Oryzias latipes: one gene and its partners. The protein of the gene in region 1 purifies or fractionates together with the protein of each later gene. This does not show direct contact. Links are inferred from orthologs where the notes say so. Each region holds a gene or a part of one and is shown in the gene's direction. Other genes may lie near its edges.

Region 1 (4,269 bases):
ACAATCACCAAAAACACCTGCTGTTTTATTTGCATGAAGAATTGTCATGTTTGGGGAATGTAAATAAAGAAACAGAATTTTTTTTGTTATGCAACAGTTGCCTAATTGAAACCAAAAAAAGTCAAGTTTGCTCGTTTTTATGGAAAAGCCACTGCATGCTGGGATCCTATGATGTGCCCTTTGTTCCAGCTTGGTGAGTTGGGCGGAGGAGCAGGGAAAGGTGGAGGTGGAGGAGGCTCTGTGAGGCAGGCAGGAGGTGCTTTTGGAAAGCGAGCGGTGGTGGAGGAGGAGCGGTACTTCAGGTAAGAAATGAAACAGGTTTTCGAGGAAAACTTCATGCCAGCGTTTCCCTTTTTGACAAGTATGGTTTTTGTCTGCAGAAAGAAGGAGATGGAGCTGCTGGAGGTGCTGAGGAGGCATCATTCGGAAGAGATTGAGCACCATAAGAAGGAAATAGAGCGTCTGCAAAAGGAGATCGACCGCCACGTTGGCAAGATTAGAAAACTGAAACATGACGATTGAAGTTTGCGCTCACAACTCTGATAGAAAGGGTGGCAACGTTGAAAACAATGTAAAGATAATTGACTATCTGCTCATTTTGGCAGTTAATGAAGCAAACGATTATCTTTTATATACGTTCCAAAATAAAATGATTGATTTTCTGTTGGTTTATGTTGATTTTCATTTCCCCTGTTTATGCCATCTCAAAATTTAGGGTTCCCGGTTACACCTGGACTCATTTTTTGTTTTTATTTTAAGCCTGTTATGGTGATGATATGGAGAGGTTGTGAACACTTCTGATGGCACAGCTGGAGATACCTGGTCTTATGTGATCTCAGCTGCTAAGCAAAGTCAGATCTGGATAGTCTTTGGATTGTTCTGTAAAGGTACCACAAGCTTATGGGGATGGATACGCTCCATCAGACCAAGAAGGGCATTTGCTGCAAAACTGAAGCCAAAACTTTCACAAAGGTCTGTCATTTCAGGCCTTAGCTCTGTCTGAGGGATTTACCCATTTAAGAAATTCACTCAGACCTTGTAAATACTTTCCTACCTCACTAAACCAAACAGGACAAATGAATAAACCAAATGAAACGAGGAATAATTATTACATGGATTAAATCACATTTTTAAAAGGGCAATATTTCAACTTTAATCGAAATTTACAATCAAACACCCCATCATTTAATCATAAAATAAATTACTAGTACTGGAAAAAATGTAAATATGTTGGTTTCTAAGTTATGGTGAGGAGATTGATTACACTTGTAAAAACAGTTTGATTTCCTTGTAGCCTCTGGAAATTTACACAATTTTAAAGCGGATATTACAAAACATAAAATTGAGAAAAATAAAAAATATTACAGAAAGTCATGTTTCCATTTTGAAGACCCAATGACACGAGCTAGATTTGCAAACCAACGTTGTACCGCAGACTCTCACATCTCGCGATGTTTCCCTCAGTGGCGTTGTTCGGGCGAGCCGAGACGAGACCGCTGCCGTCTGGAAAAAATTTGTCGTGTGGTAGACCTGAACATTCTTGGCATTTAGCATTTTCCCAACGCCCGAAAAAACAAGTGTTTCATATTTTTTCAAACATTTTCCAGCTAGTTTTCTAAATCATCCTGGTAAGTCTTGCTAACTACCCGTTTGTGCCTTTTACGGCGCGCGCGTGTAAAGGTGTCTGGGCTGCACGGCGAGGCCTTCGTGTTAGCCCGTTAGCTAGCTAGGACGTATTCTTGTGTACTGCTAAAATCAACACACATGGACTTTAATACTTCATTTAAACGAGTGGAACTTTTTGGATCTCATTGATGACTGTTTTTTTCTTAAGCTTTTAGAACATTTTGGGCCACGTAGTATTATAAATGAAAGATGTTAGCTATCGATCAGGCGCCATGTGAAGGGGGCGGTACTGTGGAATAAGCCTTTTAAAATGTATGAGCGGGTCGTTTTATTTTGAAAATCAGTAATAAATAACATTGTTTTTTATAATAATACTGACATTTAACGTAACGTTTTCGTTTAAAAAATCTTTGAGTTAAAAGCCAGATATTCCGTAATTTGATAGCTTGTTTCTGGTATGTCAAGTTGACAGTAAATGAAGTAATAAACTAAAACTGTTTTTATTCATGTCTATCTAACAGGAGAATGGCTTCCGCTGAGGTGAATGGTAGTTCGGCCCCAGTAAAGGAAGAAGAGGAGCCTATGGATGTGACTACAACTACAACTCACACTGAAAACTACCAGACCCTCATTGATGCAGGGCTTCCCCAGAAAGTGGCTGAAAATCTAGACAACATTTTCCAAACAGGTGGCTGGTTGTTGTTACCTTCAAAGCTCCAATGTGTTTGTTGTTGATGTGTTCAGTTTAGCTCACTTTGTCATGATGTTTAGGCCTGGTAGCGTATGCAGATCTGGATGAAAGGGCCATTGATGCTCTACGGGAGTTCAATGAGGAGGGAGCTCTAACAGTCCTGCAGCAGTTTAAGGAGAGCGATCTGTCCCATGTGCAGGTATTACACTCAATTATGTGCTCATCAGTACTTTTTTAAACAGTTTTCTAAAGTATCATTTGGTCTGTTTAATTGCAGAATAAAAGTGCGTTTCTTTGTGGAGTTATGAAGACGTATAGGCAGAGAGAAAAACAAGGCAGTAAGGTACAAGAGTCCACTAAAGGCCCAGATGAGGCAAAAATAAAGGTAAACGCTCTTGATTTGCAGTTTTTTTGGGCTAAGTTGAAATGCCAAAATGTTCTCTCAGTTACAAAGCTTTTCCCATTTTTTGATTGTTTACTTTCCAAGGCTCTCTTGGAGCGAACAGGATACACCCTAGATGTCACCACGGGACAAAGAAAGTATGGAGGCCCCCCACCTGAGGAGATGTTCAAAGGCACACATCCAGGGATTGGAACAGAGGTGGGGATTATTTAAAGAAGCATGATTACACATCCTGTTCGTTAAAGATCCACTCCGACCATCTTTTGATCTATTTTCAAAGTGTTCTCACTGGTCTTTTCATATCATTTGAAAAACAATCAAAAACCTGTGCAGTTTTCTAGATTATAGTTTCCGCAGAGCGACAGGAGTTCAGTAGAAATTCACCTGAGTGGACCGTTGCCGTGAAGCGCCCCCGCCCCCCTTTTCCCTTTGCAGAGCAGAGATGACAAATACAATCTTTTTAAATTTGTCTGCTCCTGATTTACATAGATTTGAATAAAGAAATACCCAAAAAATACAAATTTGAGCTAAATTTTCTTCCTCTATTTCAACAGGAAAACGCCACAAGATCAGTTTAAAATCGTTCACATACGCATGCTAAAACGAAATATATATACACACACATATATATATATATATATATATATATATATATATATATATATATATATATATATATATATATATATATATATATATATATAAAGCAGGTAAATAAGAAAGTTGAAAATAAATATGGATAGTTGAATTAGAAGGGAAATTGTTTTAATTTTATATAGAATTGTCATTTTTTTCATGATTGATTTAGTTTTTGTGTTTTGTCTTTCTTTCAGGTGTTTGTAGGAAAAATCCCCAGAGATTTGTATGAAGACGAGCTTGTGCCCCTGTTTGAGTCTGCAGGTCCCATCTGGGACCTGAGGTTAATGATGGACCCCCTTTCTGGTCAAAACAGAGGATACGCTTTCATCACATACTGCAACAAGGACGATGCCCAAAAGGCCGTCAAGCTTGTAAGTCCATTTTAAAATCTCATGGATCCCGTTGGATATAAAAGAAAGTGATTTTGTGGAAGAATAGTTTGAGCAAATGTGTGTTTTCTTCTACTGTGTTTCATTACTTTTCAAGTATTTGCTGTTTTTTGTTTTTTTGTTTTTAGTGTGATAACCACGAAATCCGCCCTGGCAAGTATTTGGGAGTTTGTATATCTGTTGCAAACAACCGGCTGTTTGTTGGATCAATTCCCAAAAACAAGACGAGGGAAAGTATACTGGAAGACTTCGGCAAGGTTACAGGTCTGTTTCAAGTCAATGATTGTATTTGGAGAAACCCTTTCAGTCGGTTGTCTGTCGCTGACGAGTGATGCGGTTTTTCTTTGCAGAGGGTCTTCAGGATGTGATTTTGTACCACCAGCCAGACGATAAGAAGAAGAACCGTGGCTTCTGCTTTCTGGAGTACGAGGACCACAAGTCTGCAGCACAAGCTCGGCGGCGTCTAATGAGTGGGAAGGTGAAGGTTTGGGGCAACCCCGTCACCGTTGAGTGGGCTGACC
Region 2 (4,318 bases), on another chromosome or scaffold:
ACCGCAGGGGGACGAGTCACTCAGTCCAGTTTTCATACAGTCAGTTGTTCATAGGTAGATAGGTTGGTTGGTTGATTGATTGATTTGGTTTGGTTTCTTTCAAGTATTAATTGTAGTCAATACAAGAGAAAAATCACACGGATGTATCAAACTCCTTACAGAGATAATCAACTGCATAGATTCAAACAAACAAACAAACAGAAACAAAGACACACTTAAGACACATTTAAATATAGTGATTATTAACTAAATAGTCAAGTAGAAAGTGATTTAGTGCTAGGAAAAAAAGGAGTTGGAAAAAGCAAATTCATATAATCTCACTCCTATTGAGTTATTTTGTGTGAGAGTTTTGCAGTTTTGGATGATAACGCTCCACCACATGCTGCCAGAATGATCACAACCAGTCTCTAGGCTCATATGGTCTGACCAGCAATGACCCTTGACCTGAACCCCATAGAGCAGGTCTGGGACCAGCTGAAGCAGAGACTCTTTTGTAATAAAATTAAGGGTATTATATTAGTTTAATCTGTGTTCCCCCACACTTCAATACAAAATGTAAAGTACGGTAAAACCAAAGAGCAATATAACACATGCACACTCTGACATGGTAAAATATACTTGGATTTGTTCAAAACAAAAAGGGTCTTGGTTACTTTATTTTTTACATAAAATATGAGATTTCCATGTTCATTTGTCATCCAACATAACCCCTAAAATTTAAATTCAGACACCTGCTCTATATTTATGTTGTCAATGGATAAAGCCACTTCTGTTTTTTCTTTATTACCAAATACCATAAACTTTGTTTTTGTTAATTATAATCAAACCACATTTTAAGTTTCATTTCCTTTTTAACACTTTTAAGTTAGGGTTTTAGATTATCCCTGAACAGAGAAATTTGTCTTCATGTCCAAATAAAACAAACTGCAACAACTTAGAAATACCCCAAACATTTATAATTGAACCTTGTGGAAGTCCACAAATAATATTCATGAGATCAGACTTATTACCTCCAAACTGCACATACTGTATTGTCTGTTTTGTAAATAACTGGTGGGCGATTGCTCTAACCCCATACGCATGCAGTTTAGAAATCGAGATAGAATGATCTATGGTGTCAAATTCCTTCTTTAAATCAATGATAACTTTTAATGTATTTTTCTTTTTGTCAATTGCTGTTGAAATTTCTTCAACTACTTTCATTGTAGCAAAACCTGTAGACCTATTAGAACCAAACCCATAGTGATTCTCACTTAACAAGTTATTTATTTTTTTAACAAAAAAATAAACTTTTAACAATGTCAAAGGAAACTTATATTTATTTCAATAAAATTCAGAGCAAAATGGGAAAAATCACATGGAAATCACATTGTCAATAATAAACTCATTGGACGGCGTCCTGACGTCATCACGTAAGTTACGTCAAAAGACGTACGTTCACGCGGCGGTCCCCCCCGCCATTTTATATTTTCAACAGGCCGAGCAGCCGCAGTACGCAGCCAGCTATCTCCACGTTGTTTTCAGCTCCATTTCCAGCATTTTTATCTTCACGGAGTCTCTTTTTGGCGGTTCTACGTTGAGCCACCGAACCCGCGGACAGTCCCGCTCCTCCTTCAGGTCCATGAACTAAAAGCTGCTGGACTCTGGAGGAGAGAAGGTGAGTGTAAGGGCGCAGTTAGTGGTTAGCTCCATGCTAACGGGAGCGCTACATCCCACGAGCGGAGCAGACGCCTCCGGCTGCCTCCGGACGGCCAAACTCTTAACTTGTACGCAGACCATAACGTGTACTACTGTGGGAGGGGGTTCCTGATGTTCTACTTCTGGATGCATGAAATGCGTTGAACGCGTCCCCCGTCCTGTGGGGAAGTGAACAATAAGCGCGTGAAGCTAGCTAGCTAGTACGGGTATTACGGCTAGCTAGCTAGCTAGCTAGCTGCCCTGACAGCTAGTTTCGCTGCTTCATTGTGTTGCGGCAGATCCGTGTCTGATATCATGCATGTTTTCCTTATCGATCAAGTGAAAGATGACGCAGTTCCTCCCGCCGAACCTGTTGGCCCTGTTCGCCCCCCGGGACCCGATTCCGTTCCTGCCTCAGCTGGAGAAGCTGCCCCACGAGAAGCATCACAACCAGCCGTACAGCGGCATCGCCCCCTTCATCAGACACTTCGAGGTGAGCGTCGCTGTCACGTGCGAGCCTCCGTCCCCCCGATGCCTCTGTCTCACCTTCCTACTGTTTCCCACCAGGATCCTAGAGATGCCCCCCCACCAACCAGAGCCGAGACCCGCGAGGAACGCCTGGAGAGAAAGGTGAGTTTCCTCCCCCCTTTGCACATGTGCTCAAATACAGAACCTGATGGATAAATAAACGGTTTATCTCTGCTTTCATCCAGAAGATTTCATATTTGCGTTTGTTTTGCTTTATGGCAGCTGGCAGTAGCACAGATTCTGTCACATCAACCCAATGAATCATGGGAGATGTAGTAAACTCTGTGACACTGATGCAAATCTCCGGGCTTCATTATTGGATGCACTTTTTACACGGTCTGACACCGGATCCTGCTTGAAGCTACACTTCCACCATTGTTAGCTGGTATTTTGTCAGGGTGAGGAACTGGGGGTGTTTTACAAACTTTTTCCAAAATAAGAGCCATTGGCCTAAGTTGCTGCACAGTAGTGGTGCAGACATTTTTTTTAATCAAAGTGTCTTAAATAGGAAGTAAAAGTCTTCTGTGATCTGTAGTACTCCCAACTGAAACCTGGGCGTATTTCGATGAACGTAGAGCTAATATTCTGGCGATGGAAAATGTTTTTTTTTTTAGAACAAATAGGTGAAATTGAGTAATTTCTCATGGCACACTCAACCATCTCTTTACTATATAAACCTCTAACCTGATCCTGTCTGTGCTGCAGCGTCCACCAGTCGTTACTGTTTGGATCTCTGATTGTGCTGCGTAGATAACGATGGAAGGCATGTATACAGAAAATTAGGATTAAAATTGCATTTGTTAGTATTGTTGTTTGAGAAACTCAACGCCTGGATAGCTCCTTTATCGCTCGCCATTTTTGTTGCACAGATAATGTTATGTTGGGGTTGTAACGTTTCAGTTGAGCGTCTTGAGCCATAAAGGAAATTTATTTGTGAACTTGTGAATTGACTGAAGCAGGAGTTTGGCTGTGAAGCACAGACCTAATGAATGCAGATTCTCAAAGGAGGGGTAGTTGAATTACAGTCCTAACTCCTTCATTCAGCATTTTCTGCCTCGGTGAAAACCTCTCAAGTCTATAGAAATATTATACCAGGCAGGAGCCCAGCACAGGTGCATGCTGGCAGCAGACAAGAAACCAAGTGCGGGATTATGTCAGCTCTGTGCTGATGCTCTGCTGTTGGAGGCTCTGCGGTTGGCCGTCACCATTTTCTTTTCTGTTTCCAGAGGAGAGAGAAGATTGAGAGGCGACAGGGAGAAGTGGAGACAGAACTGAAGCTCTGTGAGTTTGTCACTTTCTTCACGCCGTTCTCCTCAAACGGTGAAAAGCTTTGTGCTCATCCTTCCTGTTTGTTCCATGTCAGGGGACCCCCATAATGACCCCAATGCTCAGGGGGATGCCTTCAAGACTCTGTTTGTGGCACGAGTGGTGAGTATTTGTCTTGGTTCTTCTCACTCCTTGTTCACATCTGGTAATTAAAACCTTTTTGTTTCAGAATTATGATACGACAGAGTCCAAACTTCGCCGTGAGTTTGAAGTCTATGGCCCCATTAAACGGGTAGCTATTGATTATTATTTTTCTGTGTCCAGATTTTCTTCAAAACATGAACCCTTTTGTCTTTACAATGTGAGAAAATTCTCCTGGCTCTTCAAAATACTATAAAAAAAAGTAAAGAGCCGTGCGTGAAGCGTTTTGGCGCCGCTTTGTGCGTGTCGTCGTGCGCTGACTGCATGTCTGCTGCCTCCGCTCTGCCGAGTCTCACCAGGAGTTTTTCTTTTCAGATTTACATCGTCTACAACAAGGGAACAGGGAAGCCCCGCGGCTACGCCTTCATAGAGTATGAGCACGAGCGAGACATGCACTGTGAGTACGGCTGAGGCATCGGCCACCAAAGCCAGTCTGTGTTGGTGTGTGTGGATCAGAGCACTGCTCGTCACTGATGCTTCTGTAAGGAGACCAGCAAACTGAGCTCTGCTCACCAGATCCATGTCTGCTGCTCGTCTGACGTGTGTGTGTGTGTGTGTGGGGGGGGGGGTCTGCTCGATGTGTCGCCGGTGGACTAACAGTTGCGTTTAAAGGGGGGAGGAGTCATTTATTGGAGGCGTCGGGGTG
Region 3 (2,881 bases), on another chromosome or scaffold:
TTCTTATATGACTAACAAAAAACAGATTGGCTCTGTGGGTGATGCTTAATGCAAATTATTATGTCTATAAATGTCATTACTGGGTGACCTCATTGTTTCAAAAAATGTCTAAATGAAAAAGAGTTAAGAATGCAGGTTTTTGCATTTGCATTTAACAGTTGCATTACCTTGAGAAACTGTTATAAGTAAGAGAAAACATTGAAAGGTAGCCAGATAGAGAAATTTTTACAAGATGGGTGGTCTGTTCTCAGAGCTACAAATTCAGTTTTGATAAAATGGAAATCTGCTGCACCCTTCCAATGCTATTAGAGGTAACAGAATTCACATTATCTGTTTTATGACTTTTTATCTGAATTTTGATTTTTGCTTTTATCAGTGACTGCAATAAGTAGGGGAGAAGGGCACAAACTTGAAATAAGTGTTAATATTCAGGTTTTTTCTTCTCTTTTGACAGATATATATTCAAAGGTGGAGCTAAGCATCCACAAAACAAATTTACAAGAATGAAACTGCAATATTGAAAGTTTGTGTGACCTATTACTTGTTCAAAAATTGTATTTATTGCAAATAAATTATTTTCTAAACTATTACTTAATATTAGCATCTGTATTCTCTTTTTTGTGCATTATTCAAAGAAGATTCTTACAGCAAAGATACAAAATACATCAGTATACAAACCTCTTTCCTTACACAAAGGTTTCTTGCAGATCCGTATGGTTTCCCTCTCAAACCACTATTTATCCAGGTATACTGGATGGAGAAGATGTCTTTAAAAAGTAAATAGGTATCCCTTGAAAAGGAGATTTGGTCTCAATGGGAATTTTTAATCAACAAAACTCGATCATATAACTCGAACACAGCTTGGTAAATCTAAGCTGGAGTTCCTGAAAAAAATAAGAGGTAAGCGGTTTGTTTAACACAACTGTTTGTAACAGTATGCTAAATACTAAAGTCTTTAATTTAAAGTAACTTTTTAAGTAAATAGTATCCAGTTGTTCCTACATTCTCAAAATGAGTTATTGGAAAAAACACAAACTGCTTAGATAGCTTTTTGCCAAGATATGCAGCTAAAATACAGCGCAACAAACACGTCCCTTTGCTTATTTATTTATGTAAACATCAATAAAGTTCTTAGATTCCATAACACTCACAATCTTTCAAAATTCACACACATATACTGTACATATCAAGGTTATTTCAGTTTATGCCACAAAGTGTATAATCTGGCATGTAGTTGAACACTTAAAAGAAATGATCTTAGGTTTTGGAATTTTCTAGATACCATCAACTCTGCTGCTCAGCTTCAATTATTCACGTGACTTTGGTCAGCGGCTGTGTTAAAACCGCCAAAGGTTTAAACCTGGAGGGAACATTTCCGATTGGTCTGATGTGTCTGCCACATAGCCACTCATAACATGGAGACCAAAGTACTAACCAATCGTTTCCCTTTATCCCACAACCCTTTACGTGATTGGTTCATAGCCTAAACGCTGTAAATCGAAGACGTTGACCAACGTTTCCGGTTTCGTCTCGCTAAACCAATGAAATCGCAGTACTTCCTCTTTGAAAGCCAATCGATGCTTAGGGCGGGACCAAAACGGGGTTTATATCCAGGTCAACGTGGTGCTATTTGGATATCTGTATTGCAGCACTGAAAGACAACGTTTGTGTTTACAAACCGGAGGGAACTTTCTACATCGAATATGTCCGGAAGAGGAAAAACTGGAGCAAAGGCCCGCGCTAAGGCAAAGACCCGCAGCTCACGTGCTGGTCTGCAATTCCCCGTGGGCCGTGTTCACCGTCTACTCCGTAAGGGAAACTACGCCGAGAGAGTAGGTGCCGGAGCCCCGGTTTACCTGGCCGCCGTGCTCGAGTACCTTACCGCTGAGATCCTGGAGTTGGCCGGGAACGCCGCCAGGGACAACAAGAAGACCCGCATCATCCCACGCCATCTTCAGCTGGCCGTTCGCAACGACGAGGAGCTGAACAAGCTGCTTGGCGGCGTGACCATCGCCCAGGGCGGCGTCCTGCCAAACATCCAGGCCGTCCTGCTGCCGAAGAAGACCGGCCAGGCTACACCAAGTTCCGGAAAGGCGGGAAAGAAGTCTTCGCAGTCTCAAGAATATTAGCTTCTAAGCTATCGCCGCTAAAAACCAAAGGCCCTTTTAAGGGCCACTCACTCACTGAAAGAGCACCTTTCCCCTCATGATGTACATATGACCGATGACTGACTTTACTGTATAAACTACCGTAACATGTACTTAGTAAAACGTTACATTCAGGGCTTTTCATTAAACTGAAAATTTGATTGTTCACTCTTGTTTCTTTGTGTTCTTTCCCTACTCAGCAGAAAATTAAACTATATTAAAGGACTTCATAACATTTACATTGCATAAGGTAGTAAACAAACTAAGATGTCGGAACCGGGATAAATTGTGTCCTAAGGTCTGACAAATTCAAATTAACTAAGTTATACTGCAAAATGTAGTTTTGATCTTACAAAACCAGGAGATTTGTCAAAATTGTGATCATAGCATGTCGTAATTAGTAAAACTAAACGAAATGTTCTTCAAAGTCAGGAGGAAACTAATAGATCTGAATCATGATCGACAATTTGTTCCAAACCGGTTTAGTGTTAAAAGTCCAGCAGGAAACTAAACCCTGACTTAGCTTTGGTTGAATTTTAAACTGTTTAAAACCTTATTGAAGATTTCCAATATAGATTTCCATTTAGTTGCATAACAATTGCCAATATCCAGAGTCAGGTATGAAATAATGCATGTAAAAATAACCAAACCATAATGATAAACCAGAATGTTGATCTTCACGACAACTTATTGATCATTTTACACACAGACGCTGTTCTGAACTATGGATATCC
Region 4 (4,308 bases), on another chromosome or scaffold:
GAGCCAAATAAATGAAAGTATCATTGTTTTTCTAGTCTGTTGGTTGGATCAGTGTTTGAATCTGAAAAGAAAAGACAGAATATGTAAGATGGGGCTTTAGAACAAGACACACTGGTTTCACCGTCTCTGTGACTACAGCAGGTTTCTGCCAGAGCCTCTACAGGCGTTTATGGCTACTCTGCTCAGCGACTGACCACCTCAAAAAACTGGATATGGATAGAGAAAGCGTGGTTTTCTCTCCTGTGAGGTTCCTGTCTACAGCAGTAAACAAAGAGCAGCAAAAATGTGCAATTCTATTTCATACTATTGGTTTTATCAGGACTATAAACAGGACAGATTTTCTGTAGATTCTGTAGATTAAATCTTCGGTTGACACTGAAAAAATAAAAATGAAATAAAAATCTATGGTTTTAAGCTAATAAACCTTACAATGCAGGTCATGTTACAGCTATGTCATTTTATAAGAGAGATCTGGTTTTTTCTTAAATTAAAATCAGATGAGAAGTTTAGAAATTAGACAAGGATTTGGTCATTTGAAGATTTTTGTTTTATAAAAATAAACTGATTTGTTAAAACAAAATTTATTCGTGAGAAAAACAATGGAACATCCCACGTAACAAAATAAAAGGTTTTTGTTGACTTGATTTAAAATATAATTTACATTTGGAGTCCATATTTCGTGCTCCAAATATGAATCACACAGAAGCAAGATTAATATTTCCATAGTTGTTACTCGAAATTTGAACTTCTGATTGTTTATGGAACTTACATAAATGCTGAATTGAATTCATGAAGGAGAAATTGTGAAAAATTTTCATTTATTCATTTATTCATTCATTCATTCGTTCGTTCATTCATTTGTTCATTCATTCATTCGTTCGTTCATTCATTCATTCGTTCATTCATTTGTTCATTCATTCATTCGTTCTTTCATTCATTCATTCATTCATTCATTCATTCGTTCGTTCATTCATTTGTTCATTCATTCATTCGTTCGTTCATTCATTCATTCATTTATTCATTCATTCATTCGTTAATTCATTCATTCATTCATTCATTCATTCATTCATTCATCTTCTTCCGTTTGCTCCCTTTCGGGGTCACGGGGCTGCCAGAACCTATCTCGGCCACTTGTGGGCGAAGGCAGGGGGCACCCTGGACAGGTCGCCAGTCTCTCGCAGGGTTGGAATAATTTTAATAATTTAAATTTGATTACAGCAACAACAACAAAAACTTACACTGATTTTATGAATGTTTATGACACAGTGGCCACTTATAATCCTTGTGGACAATGGGTTGATGTTAACCACAATGTAATTTGAGTAAAGGAAACCAACTAGAGTGACAAAAGACAGAAATCTAGTTCTCATCCCAGTAGAATAAAAAAAATCATCATGCAGAGGGGCGTTGATAAAAAAGGATCAACTCACTGCCAGGAGCTAACAGTTCATTTCACCTCCAGAACAGAGGGTGGCGCTGTTGCGCGGTAGAAGAGTTCAAAGCTTCCGCTGTTGCCGCTTTGCAGGAATCTGCACTGCAGACTTGACTGAGCGGACGGTAGGTGTTGAATGTAGTCGTTGATGTTAGAATGAAAATGTTTGCTTTTTTAATATTTATTTTGCATACGTACTTCGTGTCTTACTGGCGTTAGTTAGTTTAGCCTCAATGCGTCTGTCAACGTTTACACCGGTTGATGAATGAAGCTAACGTTAGCATACTAGCATTTTCGTTGTAGTTGTCTCAGTTGCAACTGATGATTCAATGTGGGATCAATTGGGGAAAAATATTGCATGGAGGATCACATTATTGCTTGATGATAGGAGCTGCACGTGGCTAGCTGAAGTATAAAAACGGTCAAACATTTCCCCCGTGACTTAGTAACGTTAGTGTTGTTATCGTTTCTCCCTGTGTGTGTGTCGGCGCACATATGTTTTTCTGTTTAGGGTTTCTTTTACGACACGCACGCAGGCAGCGGTTTACTGTAGCTTCCTGAACAACACTGTATGTTTTGATGTGACGCCTGCCAGTGATTCTGCGGTTGTTCAGAGCCACCTCTGTGTTTTACAGGCAACACTAAGGGACCAGGGCACACCTGAAGCTCGCAGGTAAAGCCCACGCGGAGCTGGAAGCTCGCCACTATGGCGGACATCAAGAATTTCCTGTACGCCTGGTGTGGAAAGAAAAAGCTGACTCCCAACTACGAAATCCGGGCGGCGGGCAACAAAAACCGGCAGAAGTTCATGTGTGAGGTCGGTCTGCATTCACAGCCAGCTGGTTTGTAACCAGACTCTCCCGTAACGTCTCTGTTTGCTCCTGAAGGTGCGGGTGGATGGCTTCACCTATGTGGGGATGGGAAACTCCACCAGCAAGAAGGATGCTCAGACCAACGCCGCCAGGGACTTTGTCAACTATCTGGTCCGAGTCGGGGAGATGAAGGCTGAAGAGGTTCCAGCTCTGGGGGTCAGAAAGCTTTTTTTTACGCTTTTTTAAAGGAGATGTAAAAACAAAGCAAACCAGAGGAACATCTTTCCAATCAATAGAGCATCCAGCTATGTTCAGGCCAGAACAGAAAACCATTTAGAAAGTCAAGATCCATAAAGACTGGGAGACTGCAAGGATTAGTCAAAAGTTTACCAGTGGGCAGCGAACACTTAACCGGAACTGACGGCCTTTTGTTGTTCTACCCAGGCCGTGGCTCCAGAACCCAACCAGCCCGAAGGACCTCCGGGAAGCTTCGGAACCCTCCCAGCCAGCGGGCCGCTGCCCCCCCACCTGGTGGTGAAGGTGGAGAAAGGTTTGAGCCGAACACACCTAACCTGCTGCTCCCTGACTTCAGTCCTCTTCATCCTGTGGTTTCTGTTTTCAGAGGCTGATGCCTTCATCAATGCACCTCCAGGACAGACTGAACAAGGGTTCCCTCCTAGAGGTGGCAATGGGGGAGGAGGAGGAGGGGCTGAGTGGGACAGAGGAGCCAACCTGAAGGAGTACTACGCCCGGAGGGATGAGCAGGAGGCTCAAGCGGTACTGGAGCCAGCTATGTGCCATGAAGCTGCTTTTCAAGAAGATCCCGGTCCTTTTGAGCTGTGTTGTCACATGTTGCAGTCACATGACTGTGACAACATTAGGCGGCTTCATAACAGGTGGGACTGCTCTGCCTTAGTACCGGTCCCACTAATGCGGCTCTCCTGTTGTAGACGCTGGAATCCGAGGAGGTAGACCTGAATGCAAACTTGCACGGAAACTGGACCCTGGAGAACGCCAAGGCCCGTCTCAACCGGTTCTTCCAGCAGGAGAAGATCACCTCCGAGTACACGTACAGCCAAGTGGGACCCGATCACAACAGGTCTGGATCAGCGCTCCCCTACAAGCCGTCTGACCAGATCCAGCCTGACGAGCCCAGGTCTCTCGTCAGTCTGGATCTGGTCTTTTCTGCTGTTCAGATCTGTCAGGTGGGGGTGGGAGAGTGGGGTATTGACAAATGAACTCTAATTAAAAAGCTGCAGCTTCTCGGGTTGGTAAATGTTTCCTCTGAAAGGGGCCACACTCCTGGGCCCGCCGCTCACTGGTAGCACCTGTGTGTTTTTCTGCCGGACTGCTGCAAACCCAGAGAGCTCCTGCGTGTGCCGGCTACACCGGAGAGCCCTCACAGCCACATGCTCAACTCAAAGCCTGCAGAGCGACACTAGAACTCACGACCACGCTGAGGAAATACATGGGGATGGCGTTTAGGTTCTCTAAAGCCCCCCCATGGGTGCAGCTCCGTGGTCTCTGGTCGTGATTTGTGGTGTTGCTCTTCATTGTAGGCTTTAAAACCTGAAAGTCTGGCAGAAAAACGCCCAGGTTTCTTTCTGAGGACACATCAGGTGAGTCTGCTCCTGAGGGATGCTTGGCTTTAGGCTTTTACTTTGAAAGGCACGGGATGTAACTCTGCCATGTTATTTGTCTGCAGGAGCTTCATAGCAGAGATGCAGCTGTTCGTGAGGAAGCTCGGCAGAAGTAAGTTTTGACATGTCTGTACATGAGACCACAGAGACGGTTCTGTGCTGAGATTCTTTACGCTTATTTTAGCAGAGCCAGTAAATAGAAATTGGTGCTTTCCTTAACAAATAGAAAACCTTTTCTCTTGTGTTTTAAGTATCAGAAAGCTTGTATTTTTTAGCATTTTGAAATTTTTCTTAAAACTAAATGACAAAAGACTAATACCGGCAGAAACCAATTCTTTTAATAAATATGAAACAAACGAATCACCCCTCAAATAGGAATAGTTTACTTTCTCCCGCCCCATTGTGCCTTCAACCCTGTTGAGGT
Region 5 (4,208 bases), on another chromosome or scaffold:
CGGTCCGGTCCGGTCCGATACTCGCTGCTTCTCCAGACAGAAAAATCAACACCGATCGAAATCCAAACAGTTACGTTTGACACAACCTGTCCGTGACATGAGCTCGACAACCATTACAAAGCAACAACCAGCTCACATGTTCAGCATCGTCAGTTTAGCCTCCGCGTCGGGAGATGGCGCTGTTGAGTCGTAAAACTTATTTTAGTGGGGAAACCAGAAATTGGTGATGAGTACCAAACTATTGAATTACAAGACGACTACTCACTATAGTGCGTTTGCCATTTTGTCCGCATCTATTCCGAAATCGAATGGCCCAATATTCACATTTAAATTCCAAAATCAAGTGCCCTACAAATTTCCCAGAAGTCTCTGCGAAAAACCAGTGTGCAACACCAGATCGATGCACACTAGATTTTCGAATACAGACCACAATATGTTGCATTAGAACAATTTTTGCAAGAAATAATAAGTATTACCATCTATTTTTGATAAACCACTTACGTTTTTTCATGCTTTTGTCAAATAAAAGTTATAAATTCATAAAAATACAGTTACAAAAACAGATTTCTTGATAAATCAGGTATAAAACTGTTTTTTTGCACATTTTAAAAGCTAAATGTAATATTTTTTTACAACTTTTTGAAGCCTTTGTTTATCATTATATATGAAAATTGTTGAATTATTTTTCACAATTGTACAACTTTCTTCTCACAAATTAGATTTTTCTTCATAACTGTATGACTTTGTTCTCATGTTGTACAAACTAATGCTCCTAACTTTTAACTTTATTTAATAATTGTATGACTTTATTTTCATACATATGTCTTTTTTTCTTCTTTGATGGTGTCCCTGATGCGCCATCATGAGTGTCAGTGTTAGTATGATTTTTGATTTTGATAAAGTTTTTCTTCTGGTTGCTCGTTTGCTGAGCAGTTTTCCTTTCCTTTCATTTCAATTTCAGAATTTTATTTTTGTTTTTGTTGCCTAGCATTTTTAAACAAAACAATCAAATATAGAGTTGGTCATGCTTTTTATTTATTTATGTATGTATGTATTGATTGATTGATTGGTTTCTCCTAAAACCATTTCCATTATTTTGGAGAGAAAAAAAGGTCCAATACTAAAAGTCTTTCATATTTAGATTTAGAACTGTATCTAAAGATTTTTAAGATGAAGATAATTGGATCTTGGAAAATTAGGCTCAAAACTAAAACAACAAATCTCTTTATTTATTTATTAATAAGAGAACAATTCATTTGAATAAAGTCCCTTTTAAAAAATGTAAAATATTCAATTATTTACAAATTACCCTGGTGTTACATCTCCGCTGCAGCAGGTGGCGCTCTGCACTCAAATGCTCACTTGGGATTCGCAGAAGTAGACAAACAAGAAACGACTGGCAAGAAAACTAAAATATCGGATGAAAAAATATCCTTTAAAATTATTAGAACTGAAAGAAAATTATATTTAGAGATCAAGGCGTTTTCTTTATCTATTTAAATTTTGAGATAACTTCGAATAAGTTGAGCTAGCCTCGTCCTGTTTTTGAACATCGGCTTTTGTTATTTGTTATCTGTTAGCAGCTAGCAACTATCTTGGCTGTTAGCTTAAAATAAATCGAATTTTTTTTGGCTCAAAATTACTTTTGATTTTTTTTTTTCCGAAAATCATTTCATTAGAACTAGCATTTGATCTTTTCGAGAAAAAAGTGAAGATGTCTGAGGATTATGAATTTAGCGAAGACCCGAGTATGATGAGGATGGAGGAGGATGGAGAGGCTAACAATGACGACCCCATGTCAGCTCAGGGGGATGGCGGCCTGATGGGGGACGAGGCCGAGGGATCAAGGATCGACGCCAGCAAAAACGAAGAAGATGAAGGGTAAGTTTATCCGCGCGGGGAGCCTTTCATACAAACATACTCCCAGAGAGACTTCTGGGACATACAGCTCGGATGACCGGGAAAGCTCCTGCACGGTTATCCACGGCACTGTTGATCCATGGACGCACATTTGTTGTAGTTATTTTCAAATTGTTTTATATTTGCGGCAACGTTTGGTGAGTTCCAAAAATGTATTGGCGTTTATTTTGATTAGGATTATACCGTTTTAGCTAAATAAAAAAAACCTGTCTTTTTGTAAGACTTAGTTTCTGCAGAGCGGCGGGAGTTTATTAGAAATTCACCTCTAAATTGTGGGCGGGACCATTGGCACAGACCCCCCCCCCCCCCCATCACCCTAACTGAGAGGTCTCTATTCACAAGCCCTCCTGCTAGCTTATGGCTTCTCACAACCCCAAGCTACCATTAGCGGGGCAACAAATTCAGATCCAGATTCCAGCTCAGACGAGGAAAACAAAGCTTTGCAGATGGATCTATTAGTCTGTATGTAAGTGGATGCATTAGAATGGAGAGGAGCAGGGAGGTTGTGGCCCCGCCCAGCGTGTTTTTTCTACATCACAAATATGATCTTTTTCAAACTCTTCGTCTGCCCCTGATGCACAACGATTTGAATAAAGAAATACTCAGAAACACAGTCTAAGCTTAATTTTACCATAAATGTCGTCCATCATCAGAAAAATGCTACAAGAACATGCTAAAAATACCCCAAACACCTTTTTCATTAGTGGGTCTTTGAAGTTCATTTGAAAGTTTCTTTGTTTGTTTCGGGGAGCAGCAATTAACTGTGGCTAAAAAACACAATAGAAAAACATAATTTACATAAAAACATAAATTAAAAAAAAGGAAAAGCTGCCAAATTTGACCCTGTGGGTTCTTCGGGGTCATATAAAAACAAAGAGGCTTTCTTCAGTTCTTTCTGTTTCACTTCTTTCATCACACTGTTCACTCGTTTTATATTTTATGAATGAAAATGCCAGCAGCAACCCGAGGAAAGATTCTTATAGTTAGGACTTGGGTCACAACAAACACAAACTTATACCACGGATCTCCTTCCAAATGTTTTTTTGCTGGCAGGAAGATGTTTGTTGGAGGCCTGAGCTGGGACACCACGAAGAAAGACCTGAAAGATTACTTTGCAAAGTTCGGGGAGGTGGTAGACTGCACATTAAAGCTGGACCCCATGACCGGACGCTCCAGGGGCTTCGGCTTTGTGCTCTTCAAAGACGCCGAAAGTGTGGAAAAGGTTCGATTCTGTTCAATACCTAAATGTTGTTTTTACTGGGGTGGTGTTGAAAAAAACAGTCTGATCTAATCAAATGTCTCTCAGATCAAGGAAATTTTCTTGTAAGCACTGTCTTCTGTTTTGACTTTTTTAAAAAGCAGCTTTTTATTTTTTATTTTTCAAGAATTTCAAACATTCAAGAATTTATTCATAAAACGTTCACCTTTGTTCAGTTTAAATCAACAGATACGTGCAGATTAACTTAACTCATTTAAAAAAAGTTTGTTTCACAACTTTTTTGAAATAAATACATATTTGTTCGAATCACACTGAATTGACAATAAATCAGTGAAGCAGTTTAACATTTAACTGTTTCAGCTCCAAGTTCGTCTTTTATTTTGGAGGCTTAGTCATTTCCTTCATGCGAAAAAAAGCAATAATATTATTTATCAAATAAATTCAGAAGATTTCAGACAAACTCATGAGTGAACACGTCAGCCTTTTGAAATATTTCTTTACGTTTGATGTTGTTATGAGCAGCAGATTTCTGTGGAGACACGCCTCAACATTTTCCTTCTATATTCTGTTTCTAATTATTACATCAGCTTTGATTTTTTTCTTGTTGTTGTTGTGTCATTTAGTGAGTTTTATTTATGTATTTGCTGCTTTCTGTTCTGAAGGTGGCGTCACAGAAGGAACATAAACTCAACGGAAAAGTCATCGACCCTAAAAAAGCCAAGGCCATGAAGAGCAAGGAGCCGGTGAAGAAAGTCTTCGTTGGTGGTTTGTCTCCAGACACCCCAGAGGAGAAGGTCCGAGAGTACTTTGGTGCCTTTGGAGAGGTTCGTGTCGTTTTTTTTTTTACTCAGCTTAAACCAGTTTTTATCCTTTGACACACTTGATTTACTCTTTTTATTTATGAACTTTCAGAAGTTTTGCGTCCAATTTGAGACCTAAAGCGTAACTGCAGACCCTAAACTGTGTAATTCTTCTGTATTTTTCTTTAATTCTCGTCATTAAATGTTGCACTCTCGGCTTCTGTGCTTTTGTGAAAAACGCTCTCAGGGGTTTTCAGGTTTATTTTTTC
Region 6 (4,138 bases), on another chromosome or scaffold:
AGATGCAATAATCCTGCAGGAATTAAAAGAACATGGCAGCAGCTAAAAATGAAGTATAAAAACATAATTCAATCAGGTCAAATTTGAGCATGTCATGGAGGTAGGCTTTGTTGACAATATTTGACATATGAAACATCTACATAGCAATACATATCTAATGTTGTTTTCATTGTATATATGTAATTGACTGCAACGAAAAACGGTAACGCTCAAACAAAAACGTATGGGGAAATGCCAAAAAATCGAGTCTAGGTCTCAAAATCCTCGCACGACGTAAATGTAATTCTCTACGAATTAATGCAGCCTCCTCGTCTATTGGGTCCTCCAAAAAAGGACAAGCCATTCTTGTCACTTGTCTCTGTGTGACTGAAATTTGGGCAATGAAGGTTAAAGCGAAAAATACCGCTTCGTCTTTAAAAAGGGGAGGGGACCGGCAGAAACCTTGAGTTTAAAGAATAAAACCTGCTCCCGACCAGGTTAGGTTCACAGCGTAAGTAACTATGGACGCTGACTCCGAGTATAAGTTACCTATCTTTCAGAAACGGGTTTGACTTACTCTGCTTTCTCCGGTTTAACAAACCTCCCATTTTGAAACGGAAAACCCAGGGTTTCCCTGATTTCAGGGTTAACGCACTCAGAGTTTACACTTAACCTCATTTCTGAAACAGGGCCCAGGAAAACATCACGTCATAAAAAATATAAACCATATAACCTCAGACATTAATACAAAACATGTTGGCCCGTACGGGGATCGAACCCGCGACCTTGGCGTTATTAGCACCACGCTCTAACCAACTGAGCTAACCGGCCGTGCGCGTTATTTAAACACAGAGAATAAAATTGTTACGAGGACGACATCTCGGCATATCCATGTTACTATTTACTATTATTATTATTGTTTTTTTTAACCGTCTTAATAGGTAGATTGACCATGTCACTTATCAAAACTAGTTACTTATGTCACATAAAGACATGGGTAGTTTAGTTTACACAAAAAAGAGGACAAAAAAACAACAGAAATAAATAAATGTGTACTTCTTGGATTGGAAACTATCTTTTTACCTGTATTTCGTTTACATTTGAAATGAATGTTTTCTATTGCTACTTTGCGTAAATTTAAATAAATATATTTTTAAAAATGTTGCTGAGTTTTTCTTTTTTCCTTAAAAGTATGAAGTTATTTTTTTTTCTTCACATTAATCGGTGCTGAATTTTCTTGTACGTCTCAATATAATAGAACTTACCGGAAGTTGAATAAACGTCCTGGCGGACAGTTGTGACGACATCATTGTGCGACGTCTCCATTCGAAATATTCTGTGATGTTTGTCCGTTAGCCGCAGTGTTTTTGTATTTTTTGTTATGTTAGTATTAAATTGATGTTTATAATATCTTTTACTCAGGTAAGTTTGCAAAAATAACTACATTTTTAAAAGTAATTTATTGACAGTTAAGCGGAACTTTGCTCGCTTTTATAACTATTTTCAACAACAATACTACTGAATACATGTTTTAAAAAGTCGGACGTACAGCCGTGATTTGGCTTAAGAGCTGTTTTTGCTGAAATTCTATTGTTTTCGCTTTTCAATTTTTTTTTTTTTTTGCTTTACATATGAATGAGATTTGTTTATTGTGTTATGGTTACAAAAATGTCTTGTGTGTAAACCCCAAGACTCAAATGCAGCAAATAAACAATAAACCATAGTAAGATAATTCCTATTATGTGGTTTAGTTTTATTTTTGGAGATTTTTTAAAATCAGGATTTTGGTTTTGTATGAGTGTGTGGGATTCTGTTTTTTAGGATGACTAACACAGACAAGGAGGCAAGTGGAGGCGGTGCTGCCGCTGCACCCAGCGACAAGCTGAAACTTGAGACAGAGAAGAAGAAGAGGTACCGGGTCAAACAGCTGCTGGGAGACGTGAAGAAGCAGGTGGAGTTCTGGTTTGGAGATGCAAACCTCCACAAGGACCGTTTCCTGAAAAAGATTATAGAGGAGTCTGATGATGGATGTAAGGAGCCGTCAAGATGAGGATAGTGTGATTTTTCCAGGGGTTAGGATCTCTAACCTCCGTGTGAATCCCCTTTCAGATGTTGACATATCTGTGTTGACGGGCTTCAATCGAATGAAGAAGCTGACAACGGATCCAAAGCTCATTGCCAGGGCGCTGAAAAATTCCACTCTAGTTGAGGTAAATGTTGTTACTTGGATGCAGGGCTGTGTTTTGTTGACTAATCCAAAGTCACAGAAGACGTAGTAGGTTAAAATCACAAACTCCATGGAAACCAAAACCTCCCAAAAATACAAAACTGGAACAAAAACCAAGCAGCAGACATCAGCATCCAAATGCAGTAAAAATAAAATTCAGAGAAAAAAAGGAATACAATTTAATAATAAAAACAGCGATTAAAAAAAATAATGAAAAGCAAAAAAGGCAAATAAACAGATACATCATCTGAGTTTAATAGCTTTATTACTTTTTAAAGGGAATTAAAGATTAGATTTAAGTATTTTTTATAAAGCAAAAAATTGGGGTGAAGTTAAAAAAACAACCATTAATGAAAAATAAAATTCCTAAAATGATCTAATAATTAACTTAGAATTAAATATGTTTGTCTTTGTATAAAGATCCAAATGGAATAGTATTAGGCAAAAATGAAGTATTTCTTTTTTGTTGTGTTTTTTGAAAGCTAATCATTTAAATCCTGCCAAAAATATTAACCAAATTACAATAATAAAAAAAGATGTTTTAGTATCAGTTTTACACAAAGTTATATTGAATAAATCTAATTCTTCCTTTTTTTTATATCTTTATTGTCATTGTTTTTTCAAAGCTTTAAACAACATCACAACAAAACATTTCAATTCTGGCGTTAAAAGTAATATGTATATATAAAAAATATACACAAAGGAGAAAAAACCTCTATAAGGATTCCACTAAAGTTTGAAGGTTTTTTCTTTTTTTTTAACAATAAATGTAACTCTCTCAAAAGCTAAACGTCGAGGGTGTGTCCATACTCTTCCAATAAATCAAATTCTTAAATATGATTTTGTATAGATATATAAGGAATTGTTTTTAAATGAACTGCTTTTATTTTAAGCATGTAGCAACCGCCCAGTAAGGGCTGTCAAAAGGGAACAGCGAGGGTGGGTGTGATTGGCGCCTGTAGGCCGTTTAACCCCACTCCCAGCCTTATTAGCAGTTCGTTCTAGCTTTGATTTCACTTCGGCCCCTTGAATGAGTTGGGTTTCGTTTTTCTTTTGCGTGTTAGGTTAACCTGGAGGGAAACAAAGTAAGACGTCAACAGCCGCTTGGTGACCCACCCATCAACAGCGACAGCTGCACTGTCTACGTGGTAAAACGACGTCTTCTGTTGTCGCCTTCGCTTGGCTTAAAAACATAATTCAAGCCTTACACATATTTACTGATTTTCTTTCAAATTTTCCAAGGAACTTCTGCCCAAGGATGTTTCCCACAGCTGGATAGAAAGGGTGTTCTCCAAATGCGGGAATGTGACGTATGTGAGCATTCCCAGATACAGGACAACGGGCGACTCCAAGGGTTTTGCCTTTGTTGAATTTGAGAATGAAGAACAAGCGCAGAAAGCAATAGAGGTGAGCTATCCGTGTCACTTTTCCTCTTAAGGAAAGCATTTTTTTTTTCCATCTTAACGTATATTTTATCTCTGAAAACAGATGCTGAACAACCCTCCTGAAGATGCACCCAGGAAGCCTGGGATTTTCCCCAAGACTTTAAATAGGAAGCCGATTCCTGTTACAGGTGAGAGAGTGCTGGTTCAGTGCTATGTCACACATCACTGTATGTTGGCCTGAGCAGCTCATTCAGACTCTGTATATAACAATAAGAAGGTGTTTGTTGGTTCAGCTTGACTGCTTCATTCCAATACCATTGCTTTTTCTCTGTCTGCTCTCCGTTTTCTAACTCATTTATTTAAATCTGTGTCTGCAAACATTGTTTTATGTTTAAGTATCGAATGCAACTGTATGAAAGCTGACACGAAGCTCCTAAACATTCGAGGGCCTTCTTTGTTTTTAAAAGCATTTGTGCTAGACATCTCTTTTTAACAGGTTAAGCCTCAGTTTGGTTTTCCAGGCGTCCCCACTCTTACATTTAAAGTA
Region 7 (4,323 bases), on another chromosome or scaffold:
GTGCTTATGTACCAAAAACAGTCAAATTTGAACAGTAAAACAACAGCTAAAAATATTTACATTTTAAAGAACACAAATTTGGAATTAGAAAGTGTCATTTTGATAATCATTTAATCTATAGTAAAAGTGTTCCCAGTGATCTTTTAATTATGATTATGCTGTTTTTAGCCTAAATCAAAAAACCTGTGTTGTTTTTCTAGAACATAGTTTCTGCAGACCACCAGTAGTTTTTCAGAAATTCACCTCTGAGTTGTGGACAGAACTGATGAAGTCTTCCCTCATTTCCAGTCATCCATTTGTTACATGCTCTCCCACTAGCTTACAGCCCCTCGCAACCCAACCTAACGTCAGGTTGCAACAACAATGGCAGGCAATATTGGAGCTATCCAGCAGTACAGTTTTAAGCCAGATGCCAGCTCAGACGAGGAAAAGAAAGACGTACACAGATCTAGCCGTCTACAGGTTCATGCGTCAGAATGGAGCAGAGCAGGAAGCTTGTGGCCAGACAACTGTAGCATCAGAGCTACAAGCTTTTTTAGACTGGATTTCTTTTCTATTCCTGATTCACAACTTTGAATAAAGAAATACTCAGAACTGAATTTTCTTTATATATGTCCTCCATCATTAGAAAATTCATTCATCTTCCTCTGTTTATCCCTTTTGGAGTCACGGGGCTGCTGTAGCCTATCCCGGCCACTTATGGGCGAAGGCAGGGGACTCCCTGGACAGGTCGCCAGTCTGTCGCTGGGTCACACATTTCACACACCCACATTCACACCTATGGACAATTTAGAGTGACCTATGAAGCATGTTTTTGGATGGTGGGTGGAAGCTGGAGTCACCGGAGAAAACCCACACATGCACGGGGAGAACATGCAAACTCCACACAGAAAGGTCCCCCATTGATGTTCTGTTTCAGGTCCCCCAGCCGGACTTGAACCAGGGGCCTTCTTGCTGTGAGGCAAGAGCGCTAAACACTACACCACAGTGCAGCCCATCATCATTGGAAAATGCTTAAAGAAAATTTTAAAAACACATAAAAGAAAAGCATGCTTTTCAATGGAGTGGGTCTTTGATAAGAAAAGTTGGGAGATAAAATTCAATAATTCTGCTGCCATGCACAGTGGTGGAAGTGTAGTCATGAGGTGACTAAGTACCAACATTCCAAAGAGAGTTCATAATAAAAGACCAAAGCTGCAAAGGAAATTTCCATTGAAACTGGTATTAAATTTCAACATTAACTGTAGTTTGTCCCGTTTTGTTGCTGAGGCCCAAATTAAGCTGTCATTTAAAAAAGGAAACTTTTTTTCTCTTTTTTAGCAAATAAGTGGACAATATTTCTCTGCAATAATGTATAATGTGTTTGTAAGATAAGTATAGATGTTTTCTTGTGTGACAGTAGCAGATGGCAGGTTTACCAGAAGAGGGAAAAAACCCGCTGCGCCATTTATTCAGTGATTACGGTAGGAGAGAGGCCGTCCTCCTCCCCTCCCCACTCAACCGCCGTTTCAGCGCAGCTCTCCGCCGGCGAAGACTTCTCGGACAGCGGGTGCTATTTTGGCGCAGTTTCCTGTCTATAGGCGTTCAGTTATTTATTTATCGTCGATTTTTTAAAAACTGTTTGTACTCTTGCATTCAAAATGAGCACAATTAACGTGAAAAAGCTGAAAGTGAACGAGCTGAAAGACGAGCTGAAGAAGCGTAATCTGTCGGACAAGGGGCTGAAGGCCGAGCTGATGGACCGCCTGCAGGCCGCGCTCGACGAGGAGGCCCTGGTCGGGGATTCTTCTGCGGCCCAGGAGGGATCGGAGGAGGAAACCCTCGAACAGGCCGCCGAACAGGAGGTGATGGGAGAGGAAGAGGAAGGCGACGGCCCGATAGAAGAGAGCATGGAGGCTAATGAGGAAGAACAGGATAATGATAATGGGGACGAGGGCAATGGCGTAGCGGATGACGAAGACATGGGTGAGGGGGAAGAAGGCGACGAAGACGACGAGATGCTGAAGGGAGATGTGGACGACATGGAAAAAATTGACACGGAGGATGGTGAGCCCGGGGAGCAAGCTGCTGAGGGTGAGTCTGGTGAAGTGATGCTGAAAAGGTGGCTGGCTGAATGGACTGTGGCTGGCTGTTTTTTTTTTTCGGGGGCTGGTTGCGAAGATTTTAGCGCGTTACCAAGGAGCGTCCATGTTGAACACGGCGGCGTGATTCAAGCTAGTTAGCATTAGCAGCTAGCATCGGTCACCTCCTCTTAGTTAATCGTTTTGTAACTCTAATTACGCGTTACCATATTCTCTCAGGCACGTTTTAAAGAGTCGTTTCAAAAACACAATTTAAAGTTTAGTAATAGTTTTAATTAAATTTATATGCCGAGAACCGTCCTTTTTGGTTGACCTTTAAGCTTTTTCTTTCGATTTTGTAAGGTGTGTTAGCTTGTCAGCTAGCGCGATTTCCTTTGTTTCTGGTGTAGTGCTAACAAGCTAATTTAGCAGGGTTAGCCATTTCAGATTTTCCCTTCCTGTTAAGACATAAAGGGGGAATTTGCAAGCCACAAATCTTGTATCTTACTGTCATTTGTACAATCTCACTGGAATTACTTTTGAAACATTTCATTTCCCAGTCTGCACAAATAAAATAAACAGGAGAATATCTGCGATGGCTAACCCCAAATTTAAATAGTGGTAGCTCAGCTGGTTCTGCTGCTTTTGTTTAGCTAGTTTTTTTTGTCGTGGTTTTTCTGTTTAATAAAGGTTCCAAAATCATACAGTGTAACAAATGGGGAGGTAGTTTAAAACCATATCTAAATAGCCTTACTTGCATGATTTATTTATCCCCCTTAAACAGTAAACTTTCCCTTATAAGTTAATCAAACCCCATTGACAATGGTGTATTTTTCAGACTTTTATTTCGCCCCCACAAAGCATCACTCATTTATTTTATAATTTTTGGCCAGTTTATTGTTTAACTACCTGGTCTTAAAAGCTGTCATAACCATTTGATTGTACTGTATTTTCAGTGTAAGTATAGTGCTGCCTCTTTGAACATTCATATGAATTATGATGGACACAATGTAACTAATGAACGGGCTTTGTGGGCCAGAACCCCACTGCTAGTCCGACCTCTCTCTCTGTCTCAAAAAGGAGCACCTCATTCTATATCTTTGTTCTATTTTCAAAGGGGATGCGGACAAAGACACGAATGCTGATCAGAAGAATAAGAAGGGTGTTAAGAGACGCCGGGAGGAACATGGAAGGGGCTACTTTGAATTTATTGAAGAGAACAAATACAGCTGGTAAGGATGGGACAGAGCAAAATGGCCTTCAGCATCCCTGAAGCGCCATCCATAGCTTTGTTGGATTGTATTGGCTTTAAGTGCCAATGCACACATTTCTAGCAAGAGGAAAACCCTCTGTTTTTTTGTTTAAAATAAAAAGTATTCTCTTATTTAATAACTTTCACACATGTGTTTTCAGGGTCATCCCTGACTACCTAAAGAGCCTTACCATTTACTCTACAATGCCCACTCACATAGCGTCTTTAATGGACTGCATTCTGTAGCAGAAGTGCATCTGTGACTTTTCACATCTGTTCCTCATGCCACTTATTGTTTTGTTTCTTTTGGAAAAGCCCGTTGTGTCCTTAAGGTGAATGGAGGCTACTCTAAGCAAAACCCACAGAGGGAAATAGCAGGTGTACACTTTTTCAAAAGGAGGGGTGGGTTGAGGAAAGTAGCCGAGGGGTCTGAAAGAAAGTAGCACACAAGGATTTAGGAGATTTAAAGAAAAAAATCAAGATTATTGGAGCGTCCACGGAGGAGCTTCGGTAGTGATCGTCCATGTTTTTTCGGAGTGTTCTGCCTTTTTGTTGTTGTTTTCTCTCTATCACACTCTTGTTGCTGTTTCTGTATCATGTTTGTGTAAAATGTCATGTTGTGTGCGTTTGGAAGAGTTTTTATACCCCGCGTTCTGTGACCTCATGCATGGCTTGCAAGGGAGTTCCAGTGTGAGTGTGAACATGAACTTACTTTTTTTGGTCACGTGTGTTGTTTTCATTGCACTACCTGGACGCTGAAGATCGATGGGCACAGCATCAAAAATGTTGGCTGTTTTATTTATTTTTAAATTGTGATCACTTATTTCTGGTTGTGTTAATCCAGGAAAGTCACTTCCTGCTTCTCCAAATTGTCCACTTGACGTTTTTAGGGATTTATCAGTTTAATCTTTGCCCATATTTTCCCTTCTAAACAACATAACCTGCTTTCAAAATAATCTAAAATAATTTTTAAGCTTTAAGGACCTTTGTGGTAAAAGTGGGTTTACATCA

What was found.
Region 2: the proteins of hnrnpr (region 1) and snrnp70 purify together in Homo sapiens (affinity purification with mass spectrometry; 3 studies listed by BioGRID and IntAct, with this or other methods). This does not show direct contact. The link is inferred for Oryzias latipes from reciprocal best matches to the Homo sapiens genes HNRNPR and SNRNP70.
Region 3: the proteins of hnrnpr (region 1) and histone H2AX purify together in Homo sapiens (affinity purification with mass spectrometry; 3 studies listed by BioGRID and IntAct, with this or other methods). This does not show direct contact. The link is inferred for Oryzias latipes from reciprocal best matches to the Homo sapiens genes HNRNPR and H2AX.
Region 4: the proteins of hnrnpr (region 1) and dhx9 fractionate together in Homo sapiens (co-fractionation; 3 studies listed by BioGRID and IntAct, with this or other methods). This does not show direct contact. The link is inferred for Oryzias latipes from reciprocal best matches to the Homo sapiens genes HNRNPR and DHX9.
Region 5: the proteins of hnrnpr (region 1) and heterogeneous nuclear ribonucleoprotein D0-like purify together in Homo sapiens (affinity purification with mass spectrometry; 4 studies listed by BioGRID and IntAct, with this or other methods). This does not show direct contact. The link is inferred for Oryzias latipes from reciprocal best matches to the Homo sapiens genes HNRNPR and HNRNPD.
Region 6: the proteins of hnrnpr (region 1) and larp7 purify together in Homo sapiens (affinity purification with mass spectrometry; 4 studies listed by BioGRID and IntAct, with this or other methods). This does not show direct contact. The link is inferred for Oryzias latipes from reciprocal best matches to the Homo sapiens genes HNRNPR and LARP7.
Region 7: the proteins of hnrnpr (region 1) and hnrnpu purify together in Homo sapiens (affinity purification with mass spectrometry; 3 studies listed by BioGRID and IntAct, with this or other methods). This does not show direct contact. The link is inferred for Oryzias latipes from reciprocal best matches to the Homo sapiens genes HNRNPR and HNRNPU.

The regions. Positions count from the first base shown.
Region 1 is NC_019869.2:6,651,977-6,656,245, forward strand, and holds the start of hnrnpr (heterogeneous nuclear ribonucleoprotein R), read left to right. Parts: upstream 1-1,458; 5' UTR 1,459-1,628; intron 1,629-2,147; 5' UTR 2,148-2,151; coding exon 2,152-2,314; intron 2,315-2,397; coding exon 2,398-2,516; intron 2,517-2,594; coding exon 2,595-2,702; intron 2,703-2,804; coding exon 2,805-2,918; intron 2,919-3,553; coding exon 3,554-3,730; intron 3,731-3,876; coding exon 3,877-4,012; intron 4,013-4,098; coding exon 4,099-4,269. Other genes in the region: ATPase inhibitor A, mitochondrial, read left to right, coding at 190-302, 381-522. UniProt on the Homo sapiens protein: Component of ribonucleosomes, which are complexes of at least 20 other different heterogeneous nuclear ribonucleoproteins (hnRNP). hnRNP play an important role in processing of precursor mRNA in the nucleus.
Region 2 is NC_019866.2:24,779,845-24,784,162, forward strand, and holds the start of snrnp70 (U1 small nuclear ribonucleoprotein 70 kDa), read left to right. Parts: upstream 1-1,452; 5' UTR 1,453-1,657; intron 1,658-2,017; 5' UTR 2,018-2,023; coding exon 2,024-2,170; intron 2,171-2,244; coding exon 2,245-2,307; intron 2,308-3,431; coding exon 3,432-3,486; intron 3,487-3,568; coding exon 3,569-3,633; intron 3,634-3,700; coding exon 3,701-3,763; intron 3,764-3,987; coding exon 3,988-4,069; intron 4,070-4,318. UniProt on the Homo sapiens protein: Component of the spliceosomal U1 snRNP, which is essential for recognition of the pre-mRNA 5' splice-site and the subsequent assembly of the spliceosome. SNRNP70 binds to the loop I region of U1-snRNA.
Region 3 is NC_019872.2:15,233,835-15,236,715, forward strand, and holds histone H2AX, read left to right. Parts: upstream 1-1,604; 5' UTR 1,605-1,703; coding exon 1,704-2,129; 3' UTR 2,130-2,315; downstream 2,316-2,881. UniProt on the Homo sapiens protein: Variant histone H2A which replaces conventional H2A in a subset of nucleosomes. Nucleosomes wrap and compact DNA into chromatin, limiting DNA accessibility to the cellular machineries which require DNA as a template.
Region 4 is NC_019875.2:12,671,783-12,676,090, reverse strand, and holds the start of dhx9 (ATP-dependent RNA helicase A), read left to right. Parts: upstream 1-1,459; 5' UTR 1,460-1,557; intron 1,558-2,067; 5' UTR 2,068-2,138; coding exon 2,139-2,249; intron 2,250-2,319; coding exon 2,320-2,460; intron 2,461-2,688; coding exon 2,689-2,794; intron 2,795-2,866; coding exon 2,867-3,021; intron 3,022-3,194; coding exon 3,195-3,343; intron 3,344-3,803; exon of another isoform or gene 3,804-3,863; intron 3,864-3,949; coding exon 3,950-3,996; intron 3,997-4,308. UniProt on the Homo sapiens protein: Multifunctional ATP-dependent nucleic acid helicase that unwinds DNA and RNA in a 3' to 5' direction and that plays important roles in many processes, such as DNA replication, transcriptional activation, post-transcriptional RNA regulation, mRNA translation and RNA-mediated gene silencing.
Region 5 is NC_019870.2:2,825,277-2,829,484, reverse strand, and holds the start of heterogeneous nuclear ribonucleoprotein D0-like, read left to right. Parts: upstream 1-1,353; 5' UTR 1,354-1,714; coding exon 1,715-1,881; intron 1,882-2,973; coding exon 2,974-3,142; intron 3,143-3,801; coding exon 3,802-3,963; intron 3,964-4,208. UniProt on the Homo sapiens protein: Binds with high affinity to RNA molecules that contain AU-rich elements (AREs) found within the 3'-UTR of many proto-oncogenes and cytokine mRNAs.
Region 6 is NC_019876.2:11,528,839-11,532,976, reverse strand, and holds the start of larp7 (la-related protein 7), read left to right. Parts: upstream 1-1,274; 5' UTR 1,275-1,401; intron 1,402-1,800; 5' UTR 1,801-1,801; coding exon 1,802-2,009; intron 2,010-2,088; coding exon 2,089-2,189; intron 2,190-3,270; coding exon 3,271-3,354; intron 3,355-3,448; coding exon 3,449-3,613; intron 3,614-3,694; coding exon 3,695-3,779; intron 3,780-4,138. UniProt on the Homo sapiens protein: RNA-binding protein that specifically binds distinct small nuclear RNA (snRNAs) and regulates their processing and function.
Region 7 is NC_019882.2:13,245,034-13,249,356, reverse strand, and holds the start of hnrnpu (heterogeneous nuclear ribonucleoprotein U), read left to right. Parts: upstream 1-1,478; 5' UTR 1,479-1,640; coding exon 1,641-2,073; intron 2,074-3,177; coding exon 3,178-3,292; intron 3,293-4,323. UniProt on the Homo sapiens protein: DNA- and RNA-binding protein involved in several cellular processes such as nuclear chromatin organization, telomere-length regulation, transcription, mRNA alternative splicing and stability, Xist-mediated transcriptional silencing and mitotic cell progression.